Saccharomyces cerevisiae S288C: one gene and its partners. The gene in region 2 interacts genetically with the main gene of each other region. Each region holds a gene or a part of one and is shown on either strand. Other genes may lie near its edges.

Region 1 (5,080 bases), on a different chromosome or scaffold from region 2:
GTTTCCATTTTTCCAGCGGAAAGATAAAAAGAAACGGAAAGAAAAAAGGCCGACAAATAAACCAAACGGTATTCGTAGACCGATGACAATACGACTACAATTAAGGTAGCGCGCCTCACTATGATGTGGATCAGCCTCACATTCAGAGCAATTTGTAGTACAGCAAAGTTGCCGATGTCGTCTTCGTGAACCATTGTCAACGCAGATTAAGCACACCCTAAAACTTGAATAATGCAAATTCCATAGCTTAGTTTAATCAAGGCGCCATTATTCCTCAGTTGAAAAGTATATCTAATGGTTAGGATTAGAAATATGTTCATTGCTCATTGTTATGTGTATCATATCGTACAAAAATTATATAAAGAAATAATAATGAAAAAGAGTAAAACAAAGACAAATAGACAAAAATAGAGGATAGAAAAAGAAAAACAACAGATACATAAATAAGTCTTATGACAAAAAAACGATTGTATAAAAATTAAAGTGCATGCCATTTTTACCTCCTTTTGCTTAACTTAAACTTTTCATTGCAATCATTCATTTGTTTTCAGCGGCTAAAGCGGCTACCTCAGCTCTCAACTTTAATCTACCGGACAGGATGTCACCAATCTTGTTGTATTCAGCCCAGTGAACTTCAAAACCCTTTCTTAATTCAACGTTGGTTTCGTTTTCCCAAAGGTTAGCAATTGGCTTGAAGGAAACGTGAGAACCATTAACACAGATAACAGCAGCAGAGTCATCTTCGTGCTCAACAGTTGGTACCTTTTCACCGTGAGTATCGAACTTGAATCTCAAAACCTTAGCGTCAGTGTTTGGAGAAGCTTCATTTTTCTTGTTCCATTGTTCGATAAACTTGATACATTTGACAGCAAATCTGGAAGCGGTGACACGGTCTTTAGAAGATGGAACACCACCTTGTTGAACATGGCCTGGGATAGCAGTTCTAACACCAAACTTACCCTTGCTTGCTTCAGAGATGATGTCAGCCAACAATTGAGTGCTATATACGCTAGAAGCTTGTTCGTTTCTAACCAATAGCTTACCGTTTCTGTTTTCACCTTTGTCGTGACGAAAGTTCTCTTTTAATAGAGTTATATCTTCTCTGATAGAAGCTAAGTCGATCTTCTTTTCTGGAGTGTACACTGAAACAGCACCAGTGATTAAACCAGTGAAAGAAGCGATGTAACCAGAGTGACCACCTTGGACTTCACAGACGAAGACTCTTCTTCTTGTCGCAGAAGCACTCTGTTTGATGTCATCAGTGTAATTGACTAATGCGTTCAAACAGGTATCAACACCAAGTGAGTATTCAGTACCTGGAACGTTGTTAGAAACAGTGGCTGGAATCAAACACATTGGAATGTTAAAGATTGGGTGTTGGGTTCTACCGTCACGCAATTGCTTCAAGGACCTGAAACCTTCAAAACCACCAAGAATAATCAAACCGTCTAGCTTGTTCTTTTGGAAGTAGTAAGCAATGGTACCCAAATCTTCTGAAGCAACAGATCTGTTCGTACCGATTTCGGAACCACCCAAGTTATGCCAGTTTTCGACATCAATCCATGATAGTTCCTTCACTTCACCGGTTTGAATCAATCCACTGAAACCATTCATGATAGCGTATGGTTTATGGCCGTGAGACAAACAGTATAGAGTTGCGGCACGGGTGGCAGCGTTCAAAGCAGCAGATGGGGCACCAACATGGACAATACCAATGTTTAGTCTGTCAGATACTGGCAATAATTCGGAACCATCATCTTTAACGGTAGTGGATAAGAAGTTTTCGTAAAGTTCAATAAATTCTGTGTCTCTTAAAGAAATTGCCTTATCGAAATCTTTGTTTTCAATGGCAGTGGCAACAGATTTAGTCAACTTCACAGATTCAACCAATGGCATTCTAATTATCTTGTTTTCTAAAATACCAATTAATGGAGAAGGAGTTTCAGGGGTAAATTCCAGAACGGCCTTAACAGCATCGACACCTTGTAGAGTAGCTAACCATCTGTCATGAGCAACAGCTGTACCACCTCTTTGAACGTGACCTAGAATGGTTACCTTGGTGTCTAGACCCAATTCAATCAAAGCATCTTTGACGTCATTGGCAGTAACAGGGTTTAATTGATCATCTAAAGCACCTTCAGCGACAATAATTGTGTTATTTCTTCTACCCTTACTTCTGTGTCTTTGGCACACTTCCTTCAATTCGTCCTGCCATTTTCCGTGAGGAACAGCTCTTTCTGGAATAAAAATGTAATCGGCACCGGTAGCAATACCAGCCATCAAGGCCAACCAACCACAATGTCTACCCATAACTTCAACAACAAAGGCACGGGAGTGGGATTTAGCGGTGGCATCAATGTAGTCAACCATTTCACAGATTCTTTCCAAAGCAGAATAAGCACCAATGGTAGAGTCAGTACCAGACATATCATTATCGATGGAACCGACAAGACCAACAATGGACAAATTCTTGTATGGGGCGACTTCTTCTTTAGTGAATCTACCTTCTGCAACCAATTCATCAACCAAAGATGGCCATTCGTGTCTGAAAAGATCAGCACCGGTTAAAGAACCATCACCACCACAAACAACCAAAGCGTCAATACCTTGCGAAATTAAATTGCCTGCAGCTTGTCTACGACCCTCACGCTTTCTGAATTCCATAGAACGAGCAGTACCAATCAAAGTACCACCTTCACTTAACCAACCTCTGACATCTTCCCAAGCCATTTTCTTTAAATATTTACCGCCTCTTAGTAAACCTTCGTAACCTTCGTAAACAGCAAAAACATCACAGCCGAAATGTATACCTGTACGAACAACGGCACGAACAGCGGCATTCATACCTGGAGAATCACCACCAGAAGTCATGACAGCAATCTTCTTCTTCTTTTGAGAAGAGCCCAATGTTTGTCTTAGTAAGTCAGAAGCATCGGAAGAAGCTCTAGAGATGATTTCGTCTTCGGAGGTAGCTTCTAAGAAAGCATCTTTGGAAGTTGGAGCGGAATCGGTTGCATTAGCTAAGCCTGAGAAGGTGATGTTGTTGCCCATTGGATCTTTCAAAAACACTAAGGTATCGGACAATTTTTCGGCTTGTTTTGGGAATTTCTCGACAATCTTGTTCAAATCAGTAGAGAAATAAGTGATTGTGGCGGTTTCGTTGGTGTCGAAAGTTTCATCGATTGGAGCAGACATCACTAAACGAATCTTTAATAGAGCACCTTGACTTTGAGCCTTGTTAGTAGCTTCTTGTTGTGGTATACGGAACCCAGAAGCATCAACCTCACTCAACTTGAAAGATTCTAACCAAACTTCTCTCAAGGAATCTTGGGAAGTCCCTGAAGATAGTAAGCTATTTTCACCATGTTTGAATTTGTTGAAATCTTTCACAGTTGCAAATCCTAGAGTGTGATAAAAGTGAATGGTCTTCTTGAATAAAGCTTCATCATTTGTGATGATAGATCTGAATGCAACACCGTAGCATGAATCTTGAGATTGCATCTTTGATATGATTTTGTTTCAGATTTTTTATATAAAAGCTTTCCCAAATAGTGCTAAAGTGAACTTAGATTTTTTGGTACCTGTTTCGAAATTAAAAATAGAAAAATTTCTCTCCCTATATTGTTATTCTTACTTCAAATTTGTTTATCGTTTATTTACTAGGCGAGACTTGAGTAGACGACAATCCAAATAGAATTAACAGATTTTATTGGTAGAAAGCAATAATATTCTTTAGATGGTTGAGAATAAAGAAGTAAAAAAACCAGTAAAGAGAAAAAGAAAAGGAAGAAAATTAAAGAAAAAGGATGATTACACAAGAAGATAATAAAAAAACTCCTTTATTAAGAGCGGAAGAATTTAATAATGAAGATGGGAATAAGCAAAACAAAAACAAAGAAGGGAAAAAAAATAAAAAATCGTATTTATTTATTTAAAAAATCATGTTGATGACGACAATGGAAAAAAAAAACCGATTTCACTTTCTCATCCTTATATTTTTCAAAGGTTGATGCAAGTCGATCTCAAATCGGATAACGCTGCCAACTGGGAAATTCCGCAATTCCGCAAGAAAAAAAAAAATGTGAAAACGTGATTGCATTTTTTACAGGTCCTAAAGGATTTAGCCCACATATCAAGAGGGTGGCAGTAATTGCACTGATTAAGCATTCGTCAGCATTAGGCGAATGTGTGCATGAATATTGCCAGTGTGCTCGATATTAGAGAGTACATTGAAGAATATTGTACCGGATTATGTACAATAACTTTGTTAATGAGATATTAATTTTCTTTTTTACTAGCCGCTATCCCATGCACGATGCTAAATTTCAAGAAGAAACTGAGATTTAAAAAATTAGTGGAAGCTGATAAAACGGACTATAATGGTGTATGGATTGAGGAATCTCGACATGTTTTTCCATCGTTTTCAACGATGACTGTAACCCGTAGATTGAACCAGGCATGCCAAAGTTAGTTAGATCAGGGTAAAAATTATAGATGAGGTTATATGTATGGTACGTAAAATTTACATGTTTGGATAGTATCATAAAATATAGAAAGGTGGAAGGGATTACCTAAAAATCAGAGTTTATAATATGCAAGGACGGCCTGTTGAGAACAAAAAACTGTAGTATCTATCGCTCACTATATATCTATTAAGTTAGGATTTTCTTGCTGATGCTGCTGTTGTTGCTGTTGTTGATTGATGGGGACAAACGCAGTGGGAACCATAACATACCCTGTTTGCTGACCCTGCATCATTTGTGGTTGCTGCTGCGCACCAGTAGAGGCATACTGAAGTTGACCGGCCACGGGATTCGTCATGTATGTGCCCATTGGTGATGTCACCACGTTTTGAGCCTGAAATGGATTACCTGTTTGACTATGAGCAAGAATCGGGGTGGTTTGTGCTTGTTGGAGGGTAAAAGGATTTGGGGAGTTTTGGAAATTTTGTTGTTGCTGTTCTCTGGCAATATTTTCTAGCGAAAATGGGTTGTTAGACCCCGTTTTTGTTGGATCTAAAGTGCCGGTCATAATTGCATTGTTCTCGGTGGTCGTGTATCCGCCGAACCCTGAGCCGGTG
Region 2 (4,018 bases):
CTCATCCGAAGTGGTATCTAAATCAGGAAAGAACTGGCACGTTAAGGACGGCCACTTTGTTGAATTCGTGTTTAGGTAATCATAAAGTAGTTTAGTGTTTTTCTTCCAGTGCGAGTATCTTTCTTGCAAATCGATGGGTATACTGGAGGCTTCATGAGTTATGTCCTTCGCGCACTGATTCATCTTTGAAACTAAATTTGTATATTGTTTGTCAGAAATAGGACCTGATATCCTCCTTTTAAACAGTTGATGAGAACCTTTTTCGCAAGTTCAAGGTGCTCTAATTTTTAAAATTTTTACTTTTCGCGACACAATAAAGTCTTCACGACGCTAAACTATTAGTGCACATAATGTAGTTACTTGGACGCTGTTCAATAATGTATAAAATTTATTTCCTTTGCATTACGTACATTATATAACCAAATCTTAAAAATATAGAAATATGATATGTGTATAATAATATAAGCAAAATTTACGTATCTTTGCTTATAATATAGCTTTAATGTTCTTTAGGTATATATTTAAGAGCGATTTGTTCACATCCATTCCTTGAATTGATTGATTAAACCGTTGGTAGAAGCATCGTGGGTAGAAATGGTGGAGGAGTTGTCCAATTCCTTGCCGATGACTTTAGCCAAGACTTTACCCAATTCAACACCCCATTGGTCGAAAGAGTTGATATTCCAAATGGCACCTTCAGTGAAAGTAACATGTTCGTAGTAGGCAATCAAAGCACCCAAAGTAGCTGGAGTAATCTTTTGAGCCAAGATAGAGGTAGTTGGTCTGTTACCTGAGAAGACCTTGTGTGGGACCAAACCACCAGTGGCACCTTCAGCCTTAACTTGTTCTTCATCCTTACCAACCATTAAAGCTTCAGCTTGAGCAAAGAAGTTTGAAGCCAACATCTTTTGATGTAATTTGTTCTCAATTGGGTTATGAGATTGAGCAGCTAAGATGAAATCAGATGGAATCAACTTGGTACCTTGGTGAACCAATTGGAAGAAAGAGTGTTGAGCGTTGGTAGCTGGTTCACCAAACAAGATAGAACCAGTAGAGTAGTCAGTAAACACGTTACCTCTGGTAACAGACTTACCGTTAGATTCCATTGACAATTGTTGCAAGTAGGCTGGGAATCTGTGCAAGTATTGGTCGAATGGAGCAACCAAATGGGTTTGAGCACCAAAGAAGTTGTTGTACCAGACAGACAACAAACCACCCAACAATGGAATGTTGTCTTCCAATGGGGTTTGGGTGAAGTGGTTGTCGACGGCTTCAGCACCCTTCAAGAAAGCCTCAAAGTTGTCATAGCCAATGTACAAGGCAACAGACAAACCAATAGCCGACCAGACAGAGTAACGACCACCGACCCAACTTTCGAAACCAAACATGTTTTTGGTGTCAATACCGAACTTGGCAACTTCGGTTTCGTTAGTGGACAAAGCAGCGAAATGCTTAGCAATGTGAGATGGATCATTACCTGTCTTCGACAAGAACCAGTTCTTGGCAGTGTTAGCGTTAGTGATAGTTTCAGCGGTAGTGAAAGTCTTGGAAGCAATCAAAAACAAAGTAGTTTCTGGGTCAACAACCTTCAAGGTTTCAGCAATGTGAGTACCGTCAATGTTGGAAACGAAGTGGACATCCAAGACACCAGCGTAGTGCTTCAAAGCCTCAGTGACCATGACTGGACCCAAATCGGAACCACCAATACCGATGTTAACAACATCGGTGATCTTCTTACCGGTATAACCCTTCCATTCACCAGAACGAACTTGTTCAGAGAACTCCTTCATGTGCTTCAAGACAGAGTCGACTTCTGGAGCAACGTTGACACCATCAACGTACATTGGCTTGTTAGCTCTGTTTCTCAATGCGACGTGGTAGACAGCACGATCTTCAGTGGAGTTGATGTGTTCACCTTTGAACATAGCATCTCTCAAACCGGTGACGTTAGCCTCCTTGGCCAGTTCAATCAATGCAGCAATGATTTCATCGTTGACCAAGTTCTTTGAGTAGTCGAACAAGATTTTGGAACCATCATAGTTGGTGAAAGTCTTGTTCAATTTTTCAAAACGCTTGGCATCTTTTTGGAATTCTTGCTTGACAGACAAAGTCTTACCTTGAGATTCATAAATTTTTTGCAACTTAGACCAGGCTGGCAATTCAGTGGCCAGTTTGAAGTTAGTGAATGAGTTATTGGACATTTTTAGGCTGGTATCTTGATTCTAAATCGATTTTGCAAGACTAGAGGAATATGTATTAAAATTCACTGAATGCAAGTAAAATATTAAGTAAAAGAAAGCATTGATTATGAAGAAAGGACCTTTTTAAGATATGAGAACAATGAGAAAAGGAAAAATGGGACGAAACAAATAGGGAAAATTCCGTCTGTAAAACCAATTGTAGTAACAAAAAACGCTCATTTCAATAGCAAAAAAATAGAATACCGTCAATGGATATATATAGACACGGGACATTATAACAACGTGCAGATGGTGATGATTGCAAACCCAAAAAATTACCAGCTTCCTGTAATTCCAGGTTGAGCGCGTGGCTTCCTATAATCCAATACACCCACACCCACCCAGATCGTGATTTTTGTTACCATCCCGGTTCTTGCCTCATTGACATATTTTTCTGACGGTGACAGAACGTGGCCTTGTACACTCTTTTTTAATGTTACGCTGGCACAACATAGTTCAACGAAAAACGAATTAAGTTCTTACTTCCGTGTTTTAATCAGAAAACGATATTCCAATGAGAGATATAAGCGTAAGGTAGCATGTCCGATGGCAAAATTCTCTTTGCTTCCGCAGCGGGGCCAAAGTCTTACTCGCCTCTAACCCCACGTAGGACAAGTGCTGAGAATAAAATAGTCTTGGCGTAGTATGCCTTCTTCAGTAATATTTTTTCTTTTGAAAGTACTACCCACATCCGAACATTGCCACTTACATAGCGATGCAAATAGCCGCCAGGAAATGCCGCATGTTATCCACTAAGAATAGTCAACATTGCATAGCATCCAAATACGTGAAAGCGGACCGATCTTGAGCGAAATGTTTAGTACCGTTGATGTGTAGAAGTAGTGCCCTGAAATACATAGCGGTGTATTATTTAGCATTAACATACAAAAAAAAAATAACGGAGGCACCAATGGAAGTGGTGTCGCTACATTAGTTTTTAACTCAGTCAGAAAACTGAATTTAGTTGATATGGGACCGCTCCAAGGTAGGAGAATACTAGATCAAGTAAAGCAACCGCACTAGTGCCTTTTTCAAACAAGGTGGTTTGATGAGGAGGCTTTCTACAATCCTAGAAATATAAGACATCTGTCAGATTAGCCGCCGTTCATATGGTTTCAAAAGGTTGCGAATGGAGACAAACGTTCCTCGTCCCAAATTAGCCAGACGGAACAGGACAATAAAGGTGATAATGTAATCCATGACTTCCTCTATTTTAGACGGGACTTTTAGCATCCTCTAAATATTTTCAACCCATACATGTCATCAGCATCGGTGAACATCTTTAATAGTATCGACAACTTGGCTCACGTACTTCTCACCGTCAAGTGCGATTTCCGGGTCATGCAATACCTCGTCTGGTTCTTGATCTTTATTCGTGGCAGAATTATGCTGATCCTTATGAGGAGGGCTCCTCAGCTTGGCATACTTTAGTCGCTGATTTCTTTCCCTCATTAATCGCAGTAGTTGAGCGTGCGACTTGCGCATTTGCGTGAGATTGCTCTCAAAATCTCGTGGGAACCCGTCGTTGACGATAGGTTCTTTCGCCATCTTCTTCACATCATCCAGTGTATCGATTTCAGACCATGATACGTCTTGCGTCTCCGTAGGTGCCAGGTTTGAGTGCATTGTTATACGGCTACCATTTACGCTTCTTTCGTATGCAGTATTACCCCTACTAATGCTGGTCGTTAAGGGGTTTAGTGCTGGAGGCGTGGTTAGGTTTTTGGTCGGAAGTGCGTTGGAACTGCCCATTATAGAGGCAGTGGAATCTGAAGATC
Region 3 (3,644 bases), on a different chromosome or scaffold from region 2:
TGCGTAGTCACTATTAGTAATACCAATACCCAGCGGGGTTGCAGGGAATACAATGGAAAGACCTAAAGAAAATAGAAAACGGATTTAAACGGAAATGGGCGGACATTTAGTCATATGTGCGCGGAACCAGACGACTGGGAAAGGATCGAAAGGCATCCGCGGAAACTTAAAATAGCTCCGCGGATGCTAGATTTCTACGAGTCATACATAGTCTGGCGTGAAGGTAATTTTTTTTTATGTCTCCGTTCTTTTCCAAATGGGGTGATCCGTGGAGGGCGGTGCTTCTTTCGCGCCACTTCCTTGCCGTGGAAAAATGTGTACGGTTACCATGGTCACATAACCTCTGTGTGCGGAGCCACTCTGACTCGCATCAACCGGGCTATGGTTGCATCGGATGCTGGAATGGGTTCTATTGGACTCACCAACTTGTTTCTTTATAGAGTGTAAGAGGTATGAGTAAACTTTTAATATTTAAAGGTTGTTCCAAGAAGGTGTTTAGTGTTATTGTTCGTACAAACAAGTACCCAAGGCAGGCTTCGAAACTATAATTGCGTCTTTTAGTTCTTCATCTGTGAGATCCGGATATCTTACATTGTAGAATTTTTCGATTAGTGCTTTTCGTACCTGTTCCACGTTCCCATTAGCGCCACTAGGAACAAGGTGGATAGTGCAACCGCCCCAACCAGCGCCAGTGAGACGGGAGCCGAAAGAACCATTTGCTAGGGCAATCGAGCATATTTGATTGGTTTCTATGCACGAACATTCATAAAGTTTATCACAAGAGGCCTGGGACTCATTCATTAGTCGGCCAAAATCTGTAAAGAAATCTTCGTCCGTGTGAAAAGTGGCACTTGTCATCATTTTTAAAGCCTTAAGCACCCTTAAGGATTCGGAGTAAACGTGTTTAGCTCTTTGATATAGTTTCAAGACTTGGAAGCGGACGGGAAAAGTTGTCAGGTAATCTCTAGTGAACTCCTCACGTGAACAGTTTAGCGCCGTAGAGGCTTCATGTACAGTGAATCCGCTCTTTTTCCTCGAGAAAGATTCTTCTACCAATTGTAGCATCTTGAGTAAACGTTCAATACCAGTTCCGATATCTCCATTCCATGGTTGGGCTTGGTTTTCGTATCTGGCGTAGTAAGCATCCATAAAATCTCTTAGATTCCCTCTTTCTGAGTTAGAATTGTCCTTGTGAGATGGTAAGGCCACGCTGTATCTGGTCGCCAAGGCGTTGGCAGCAACTGTTACCTCTATTACTCTTAAATTGTAATTTGTAGGAGCAGTTTCGAATTTATTAGACTTTACAAGAGTATTGGCGATGACGAAACTGATTTCATGATTTTTCAATTGAGGAAACTTGAAAGGTGTGGCCTTTAGTTTTGGCCTAAACTCTACGTATAGAGCATGATCTTCTTCCCCATAAACAGACGTTGCTTGATCCATACCACCATTATTGACTCCAACATAGTGCTCAGCAACCGCTGTGATGCGGGTCAAGTCTTTTTTGGAAATATCAAAATTTTTTCCCATATTGGCTCTAATTGTGGCTAGTGCTGCCGCGCAAGTAAATGCAGATGAGAGTCCACCACCAGTAGGAATATCGCTCTGGCAAAAGATCTGCGCACCTACTAAGGGTGTATTATTAAATCTTTCCGGAGCAATTTTTTTCAAGTATGAATGTGCCACATGTAGTCCGCATTTAAAGTAATTCGACCATTCCGACACAGACGGATCTATGGCCATGTAGGAACCATCTAAAGGCAGATCAAACTTTCGCTGAGCAAATTTAGGGTCCGCATTTGTTAAGGTAATGGATGGATTTTTTTCGTCTAAAATTTTAACTGCGCAAAGCATATCCACATCAATGGCTAATGGCAAAACTGAAAAATCGCAATAATCTATATGCTCACCAATCAGATTTACTCTGCCAGGAGACCTAGCGATAAAATCAGGTTTGACATGGTATGTTTGGAAAAATGCATCTACAACCGCTAAATGTTTTTGTTCGAAAGACCTTGGTAAATCTCTGACCGGAGAACTGAATATTGGAACGTTTGTATTCATACTATGTGTTGCCCTACCTTTTTACTTTTATTTTCTCTTTTTGCACTCCTGATTCCGCTAATAGGAAGTATGAATACCTGGGGTTGTCAATGTGGTAACAAAGGTGTTGCCTCACTTGTCGCTTATGATGATTATATACGTTTCAGTAAAAATTTTACTGCCTATGTGTTGCAGGCGGTCAATCAATTGCATAAAAGACCGTGTGATGGCTTGGCATGGCGATTTCATTCTTTCAAGAATTCCACATGTTAAAATAGTGAAGGAGCATGTTCGGCACACAGTGGACCGAACGTGGGGTAAGTGCACTAGGGTCCGGTTAAACGGATCTCGCATTGATGAGGCAACGCTAATTATCAACATATAGATTGTTATCTATCTGCATGAACACGAAATCTTTACTTGACGACTTGAGGCTGATGGTGTTTATGCAAAGAAACCACTGTGTTTAATATGTGTCACTGTTTGATATTACTGTCAGCGTAGAAGATAATAGTAAAAGCGGTTAATAAGTGTATTTGAGATAAGTGTGATAAAGTTTTTACAGCGAAAAGACGATAAATACAAGAAAATGATTACGAGGATACGGAGAGAGGTATGTACATGTGTATTTATATACTAAGCTGCCGGCGGTTGTTTGCAAGACCGAGAAAAGGCTAGCAAGAATCGGGTCATTGTAGCGTATGCGCCTGTGAACATTCTCTTCAACAAGTTTGATTCCATTGCGGTGAAATGGTAAAAGTCAACCCCCTGCGATGTATATTTTCCTGTACAATCAATCAAAAAGCCAAATGATTTAGCATTATCTTTACATCTTGTTATTTTACAGATTTTATGTTTAGATCTTTTATGCTTGCTTTTCAAAAGGCCTGCAGGCAAGTGCACAAACAATACTTAAATAAATACTACTCAGTAATAACCTATTTCTTAGCATTTTTGACGAAATTTGCTATTTTGTTAGAGTCTTTTACACCATTTGTCTCCACACCTCCGCTTACATCAACACCAATAACGCCATTTAATCTAAGCGCATCACCAACATTTTCTGGCGTCAGTCCACCAGCTAACATAAAATGTAAGCTTTCGGGGCTCTCTTGCCTTCCAACCCAGTCAGAAATCGAGTTCCAATCCAAAAGTTCACCTGTCCCACCTGCTTCTGAATCAAACAAGGGAATAAACGAATGAGGTTTCTGTGAAGCTGCACTGAGTAGTATGTTGCAGTCTTTTGGAAATACGAGTCTTTTAATAACTGGCAAACCGAGGAACTCTTGGTATTCTTGCCACGACTCATCTCCATGCAGTTGGACGATATCAATGCCGTAATCATTGACCAGAGCCAAAACATCCTCCTTAGGTTGATTACGAAACACGCCAACCAAGTATTTCGGAGTGCCTGAACTATTTTTATATGCTTTTACAAGACTTGAAATTTTCCTTGCAATAACCGGGTCAATTGTTCTCTTTCTATTGGGCACACATATAATACCCAGCAAGTCAGCATCGGAATCTAGAGCACATTCTGCGGCCTCTGTGCTCTGCAAGCCGCAAACTTTCACCAATGGACCAGAACTACCTGTGAAATT
Region 4 (6,411 bases), on a different chromosome or scaffold from region 2:
TCTTATTCATCAAAGCCTGGTCGAAGATTATTAGTTGTGCCAAGGCAATATCAGGTTTATTAATCTTTTAGGAAAAATGTAAGGTTGTTACGTCTCTTTCCGTCTCGCGGAAAAACATTTTTACTCAAGCCGTCCGTGGGATGATTTTTGGTGGTTATCATTTTCCAAGACTCCAGACAAAAGAACGTGCAGGCGCTTGGCAAAAAGAAAAAAAAAAAAAGCGAGAGGGAAAAGTGGCGCGGTGCCAATACTACCGGTACTTGTTCTTGAATAAGCTATCAGATGGTCAAAATAGGGCTAGAAGAAAAATGGTAAAATAAAGTAAAAAAAGGTAAAAGATAATTTTTGAAGAACTAAAAAATATGTAAATGAATATGTATTCTACGGGTAGTTTTCTGCCTTACAAAATTATGGCAGCGAAAACAGAATGGTGGAAGAAAGTAAAGAGGGTATCGAAATAATATCTTAATTTAAGAATGAAAACATCGTAATGAAGAAACGAACATGTTGGAATTGTATCATTAGAATACAACTGGAAGAGCGAGTAGCAACCACATAAAGTTTCCAAGAACCTTGATATTAGCAGCACCTTGGTAAGTACTCGAGATAGAAGGAACAGAGTATGTAGCGACTGCAGAACCAGAAGCAGATTGTAGTGGACCAGTTAGAGATGGAGATGTGACAACGGGAGCCACGCTAGAAGCAGAAGCTGTTGTAGCTAGTTGGGATGTAGTCTTGATTGAAATAGGGTTGGTTGCTGTGGCCACAGTTTCGTAATTCTTGGCACCATTTGAACCTGGAATCAAAGTGGTTATGTAAGTGGTTGGGATGGACTTGGTTGTGTAACCAGTTGTTGTTTCGCCAGCGGAGTTAGTACCAACAGATGACTCAGTGGTAATAACTGTGGTTGGAATAGCCGTCGTGACAGGGGTGGTAGCCGAAGGTGCAGTGTTTTCGCCTGCGCTTGCAGAACTTACGATAGTCTTAGCAGAGCATACAGATGTAGTTTCACCGGCAGCGTTTGTAGCAGCAGAACATTCAGTAGTGGTTATTGTAGTTGGTACGGCATTAGTGGCAGGAGTTACTGGTGCACTTGGAGCCAAAGTGGTTACATAGGTGGTTGGTACAGACTTTGTTGTGTAACCAGTTGTCGTCTTACCAGCGGAGTTAGTACCCGTAGAGGATTCAGTGGTAACAACGGTGGTTGTGACAGCTGTTGTAACAAGGGTGGTAGCTTCAGTAGTGTATTCGCCAGTACCAGTTGAACAAGGAACAGTGGTTGTGACAGTCTTTGGAGAGCATCCAGAGGTAGTTTCACCGGCAGAGTTTGTACCTGTAGAGCAAACCGTAGTAGTAATAGTGGTTGGGGTGAAATTGGTAACCGTAGTGACTGATGGAGTTGGAGCAATTGTGGTTAGGTAAGTGGTTGGAATGTTTTTGGTGACAAATGTAGTTGTAATTTCACCACCTGGTTTTGTACTAGTAGAATACTCAGTAGTAACGACGGTGGTTGAGACAACTGTAGTTACAGGTGTGGTAGGTGAAGTGGTTGTTGATTCCGAGGCGGTTTCGCTTGGACTGGTTGAACATGGAACAGTAGTTGTAATGGTCTTTGGAGAGCATCCAGAGGTAGTTTCACCGGCAGAGTTTGTTCCTGTAGAGCAAACTGTAGTAGTAATAGTGGTTGTTGATGATGTAGTGACAGAAGTCGTAGTTGTAGTTGGAACAGTAGTTGTAACGGTCTTTGGAGAGCATCCAGAGGTAGTTTCACCGGCAGAGTTTGTTCCTGTAGAGCAAACCGTAGTGGTAATAGTGGTTGTTGATGGTGTAGTGACAGAAGTCGTAGTTTTAGTTGGAACAATGGTAGTTTCGGTTGTAGAAGAAACAGAGGTTTCTGTTTGACTGCCAGGGTATTTGGATGATGATGGAGTGACAGTAGTGCCAGTAGAAAAGCTTTCAGTAGTAGAGCTGAATGGAATTGAAGATGGAGCGGAGGAAGTGATGTTGCTAGAGGAAGATGGGGTTGGTACTGGTGCTACAGAGCTTTCAGTGGTGGAGCTGGATACTGGAGCAGAAGAGCTTTCAGTAGTAGAGCTTGATGGGGTTGGTACTGGAACAGAAGAGCTTTCAGTGCTAGAGCTGAATGGGGTTGAAGATGGAGCGGAGGAAGTGATGTTGCTAGAGGAAGATGGGGTTGGTACTGGTGCTACAGAGCTTTCAGTAGTAGAGCTTGATGGGGTTGGTACTGGAGCAGAAGAGCTTTCGGTAGTAGAGCTGGATGGAGTTGGCACTGGAGCAGAAGAGCTTTCAGTAGTAGAGCTGGATGGAGTTGGTACTGGAGCAGAAGAGCTTTCAGTGGTAGAGCTGGTTACTGGAGCAGAAGAGCTTTCAGTAGTAGAGCTGGATGGAGTTGGTACTGGAGCAGAAGAGCTTTCAGTAGTAGAGCTGGATGGAGTTGGTACTGGAGCAGAAGAGCTTTCAGTAGTAGAGCTGGATGGAGTTGGTACTGGAGCAGAAGAGCTTTCAGTGGTAGAGCTGGTTACTGGAGCAGAAGAGCTTTCAGTGGTAGAGCTGGTTACTGGAGCAGAAGAGCTTTCAGTAGTAGAGCTGGATGGAGTTGGTACTGGAGCAGAAGAGCTTTCAGTAGTAGAGCTGGATGGGGTTGGTACTGGAGCAGAAGAGCTTTCAGTAGTAGAGCTGGATGGAGTTGGTACTGGAGCAGAAGAGCTTTCAGTGGTAGAGCTGGTTACTGGAGCAGAAGAGCTTTCAGTAGTAGAGCTTGATGGGGTTGGAGCTGGAGCAGAAGAGCTTTCAGTAGTAGAGCTTGATGGAGTTGGTACTGGAGCAGAAGAGCTTTCAGTAGTAGAGCTTGATGGAGTTGGCACTGGAGCAGAAGAGCTTTCAGTGGTGGAGCTGGTTACTGGAGTAGAAGAGCTTTCAGTAGTAGAGCTGGATGGAGTTGGTACTGGAGCAGAAGAGCTTTCAGTGGTAGAGCTGGTTACTGGAGCAGAAGAGCTTTCAGTGGTGGAGCTTGATGGGGTTGGAGCTGGAGCAGAAGAGCTTTCAGTAGTAGAGCTGGATGGAGTTGGTACTGGAGCAGAAGAGCTTTCAGTGGTAGAGCTGGTTACTGGAGCAGAAGAGCTTTCAGTAGTAGAGCTGGATGGAGTTGGTACTGGAGCAGAAGAGCTTTCAGTGGTAGAGCTGGTTACTGGAGCAGAAGAGCTTTCAGTAGTAGAGCTGGATGGAGTTGGTACTGGAGCAGAAGAGCTTTCAGTGGTAGAGCTGGTTACTGGAGCAGAAGAGCTTTCAGTGGTAGAGCTGGTTACTGGAGCAGAAGAGCTTTCAGTGGTAGAGCTGGTTACTGGAGCAGAAGAGCTTTCAGTGGTAGAGCTGGTTACTGGAGCAGAAGAGCTTTCAGTAGTAGAGCTGGATGGAGTTGGTACTGGAGCAGAAGAGCTTTCAGTGGTAGAGCTGGTTACTGGAGCAGAAGAGCTTTCAGTGGTAGAGCTGGTTACTGGAGCAGAAGAGCTTTCAGTAGTAGAGCTTGATGGGGTTGGTACTGGAGCAGAAGAGCTTTCAGTGGTAGAGCTGGTTACTGGAGCAGAAGAGCTTTCAGTAGTAGAGCTGGATGGAGTTGGTACTGGAGCAGAAGAACTTTCAGTAGTAGAGCTTGATGGGGTTGGTACTGGAGTAGTAGTCTTCTTAGTGCATGTCTTAGATGTGGTAGTTTTCTTCTTTGTACATGGAGTGGTGTCGTGATGAGGAGGTGTAGGCTTTTCCTTTGTGCATGAGGTAGTGGTTGGGGGTGTAGGCTTTTCCTTAGTGCATGAGGTAGTGGTTGGTGTAGCAGGAGCGGTGGTTGATGATGATGTAGATGACTCGGAAGTGCTAGATGTAGTGGTAGATGACTCGGAAGTGCTAGATGTAGTGGTAGATGACTCGGAAGTGCTAGATGTAGTGGTAGATGACTCGGAAGTGCTAGATGTAGTGGTAGATGACTTCGTACCGCCACAATTATTGTCACAATCTATGTTCCAATAGAAGCCTGGGAAATCCGTTTGAGAGTGGCCTTGATTGTCATAGTTGTTACAACCAGTAGACAAATCAAAAGATGTAGTTCCCCATTGCCAGGAGCTTGCATATTGAGCGGCACTACCTTGCAAATACTCGAATTGAATTTGGAAGTTAGGCATCCACACCTGACAGCTGTTGACATCTTGTGTGGCATAAACTTCAAAAGTGGCTGTGAAATCAGTTGGGTTGTCAATCAAATAGGTATTTTCGTTGTAACCGTATAGTTGGACGGTACCTTTTGGACCAGTGACACCAATGATTTTCAAAGACCATAGATACTTCAGGTCAATATTTTCTTTACCTTTGACATGAATAGTGATTTGGTATGTGTTGTCTTGAACCCAAGAAACGGAAGTCACATCCAAAGTATACTGCATGATATTTTGCTGGTCCATGTGCCAATTGAAGTCTAAGTTGGGACAGCCATTAACGATAGAATTACAGCTAGTTCCTTCGGAGGATCCTCTTGGAACTAGTGCAGTTGGAAAACCCAAAGCCGAGTTAAATAGAAGCGAAAGGACCAAATAAGCGAGTAGAAATGGTCTTTGCATAGTGTGCGTATATGGATTTTTGAGGCCTACAAAAGTATATTTTAATTAGAACCACAACATGACGAGGGATAATAACTGATGAATAGGGTGCTTTTTATACGTTTATTTTAGGAAGCAAGAGATCCTTTTTATCAATTGGGAACCCTTCAACAATTTGTACTGGTAAGTCTATGAGTTATCCGTTCTTGAACTAGAAGAGAGCGCAGTAACGTAAATGCTTGAACATATTTGTTAAGGTAAATAAAACTGCCCTAATTTTTTATTTAATTCGAACACGGACATTCCTCAGATAAGACAAGTCTAACAGTTAATTCAAAGTAGAAAGAGCTTAATTTCTCCGTAAAAGAACGAAGTATATTGCGATGATGCCTTGAATCCCAATTGGTAACTCTATGACATTTTTGTAAAGGTTACCTCATCAGAAGAGAACGGACCTAAAAAGATGACCCACATTTCTCTAGAAACAATCGTACCCTAATAGTTGCTTTAAATTGCTCAGCGGTCAAGAAAACGTATCATAATGTTATTCTATTCTTGAGCAGGCACTTTTAGGGTTGGGCAATGTCCTCAAAGTAAATATTAGTAAACAAACGAATACCTCCAAATCCATTGAATTGAAAATCCATTCCAAGCTCTGCGCTTCCAATTGTTAATCACACCACCGATAGGCAATAGAAGTTCTGTCCGTGAAGATACCGCAGAATGAGTTGTGCCCGTATTGTTGCACCTAATTACGGAATCCCAAGGTATGCGATGTCCCAGTACGACCGTTAAAAAGACAACATGAATGACTGATCTGTTTAAGAGTATAGGCAGAAATAAAAAAGTTTGTGCAATGCCTGACAAAAAAAAGCTAATTTTTCTTTTAAGAAAGAATGTCATTCTTTTACCGCAAAGTTAATTTCTGCCTACAATCACCTTCTAAACGCTCGGACTGATTGCCTTGAGCAATCAGCAGTTCTTTGAAGCCACTGTCGCAACAAAGAAAAAGAAAAGGGAAGTCCATTCTTAGCCCCAAAGAAAAGGATGACAAAAAAAAGAAAAAAAGTTAACTCGTACCAGTAAAGCCTAATTTTGCAGTGATCGCTAGCCCCAGAGAAGGACTAAAGACAAAAAGGACCCACTCGATAGGAAAATAACGGCCGAAACTCTTTGGGCGACATTTTCTTGTTAAGAAAACAGAAGAAAAAAACCTTAATTTGAACTTTCCAGGCACACCCAAAAAGGATTATGCTTATGTAATGCCACATTCCGAGAAACTGAAAGGCAAAAAAGAAAAAGCCTTTTTTTTCCTGCCGCGAAAGTTTAATTTGCCTACCGGCGTTCCTATTGGAGTCAGGAAAAGATCACTAGGAATTACAGCTGTGAGAACATACTCTGGGGCTGGCGTAGGCACACAATCCGGTATTCCTAAAGTTTTGTGGTACAAAACTCCATACCTAAAACATAAAACAAATCTCACCCGTGGATCCTTTTATTCATAATACCCCGTCCTGCACGCCGTGGAACTGAGTCTAAGTTGACAAGGCTACGAATGAATTTTGGGAAATGCATACGAAGAGGACTGAAAAAGTAGCAGGTTTCATGTGGTGGAAATACCGATTAGCGCATTCACATTCGTGTTAGGGTCCGTTTTCCCGCACAGCTTTCGAAATATGAAACAATGTCCGTCTGCGTCAGCAGCTCAGATAAGGAAAAAAGAGATGGTAAAAAACATTCGAGAAAAACAAGTACTGCAGGTGCATGTCCTCAATGCATGCAAGTGACCGTTTTGGGGTGGTGAGAA

Evidence for each region.
Region 1: of PGI1 (region 2) and PFK1, changing one enhances a phenotype caused by changing the other (phenotypic enhancement), as found in Saccharomyces cerevisiae (one study listed by BioGRID).
Region 3: of PGI1 (region 2) and GAL3, changing one enhances a phenotype caused by changing the other (phenotypic enhancement), as found in Saccharomyces cerevisiae (one study listed by BioGRID).
Region 4: of PGI1 (region 2) and FLO11, changing one suppresses a phenotype caused by changing the other (phenotypic suppression), as found in Saccharomyces cerevisiae (one study listed by BioGRID).

The regions. Positions count from the first base shown.
Region 1 is NC_001139.9:970,234-975,313, forward strand, and holds PFK1 (6-phosphofructokinase subunit alpha), read right to left. Parts: upstream 3,502-5,080; coding exon 538-3,501; downstream 1-537. Other genes in the region: YGR240C-A (uncharacterized protein), read right to left, coding at 4,344-4,544; YAP1802 (Yap1802p), read right to left, coding at 4,642-5,080. UniProt on the Saccharomyces cerevisiae protein: Catalyzes the phosphorylation of D-fructose 6-phosphate to fructose 1,6-bisphosphate by ATP, the first committing step of glycolysis.
Region 2 is NC_001134.8:611,700-615,717, forward strand, and holds PGI1 (glucose-6-phosphate isomerase), read right to left. Parts: upstream 2,202-4,018; coding exon 537-2,201; downstream 1-536. Other genes in the region: MSI1 (Msi1p), read right to left, coding at 1-183; YBR196C-A (uncharacterized protein), read right to left, coding at 2,325-2,474; YBR196C-B (uncharacterized protein), read right to left, coding at 2,827-2,931; YBR197C (uncharacterized protein), read right to left, coding at 3,504-4,018. UniProt on the Saccharomyces cerevisiae protein: In the cytoplasm, catalyzes the conversion of glucose-6-phosphate to fructose-6-phosphate, the second step in glycolysis, and the reverse reaction during gluconeogenesis.
Region 3 is NC_001136.10:461,854-465,497, reverse strand, and holds GAL3 (transcriptional regulator GAL3), read right to left. Parts: upstream 2,065-3,644; coding exon 502-2,064; downstream 1-501. Other genes in the region: YDR010C (uncharacterized protein), read left to right, coding at 115-447; phosphoribosylanthranilate isomerase TRP1, read right to left, coding at 2,982-3,644.
Region 4 is NC_001141.2:389,051-395,461, forward strand, and holds FLO11 (Flo11p), read right to left. Parts: upstream 4,626-6,411; coding exon 522-4,625; downstream 1-521. Other genes in the region: YIR020C (uncharacterized protein), read right to left, coding at 5,205-5,507. UniProt on the Saccharomyces cerevisiae protein: Homophilic binding protein that enables kin discrimination in heterogeneous yeast populations by mediating homotypic cell-cell interactions during flocculation, a reversible and asexual process in which cells adhere to form aggregates (flocs).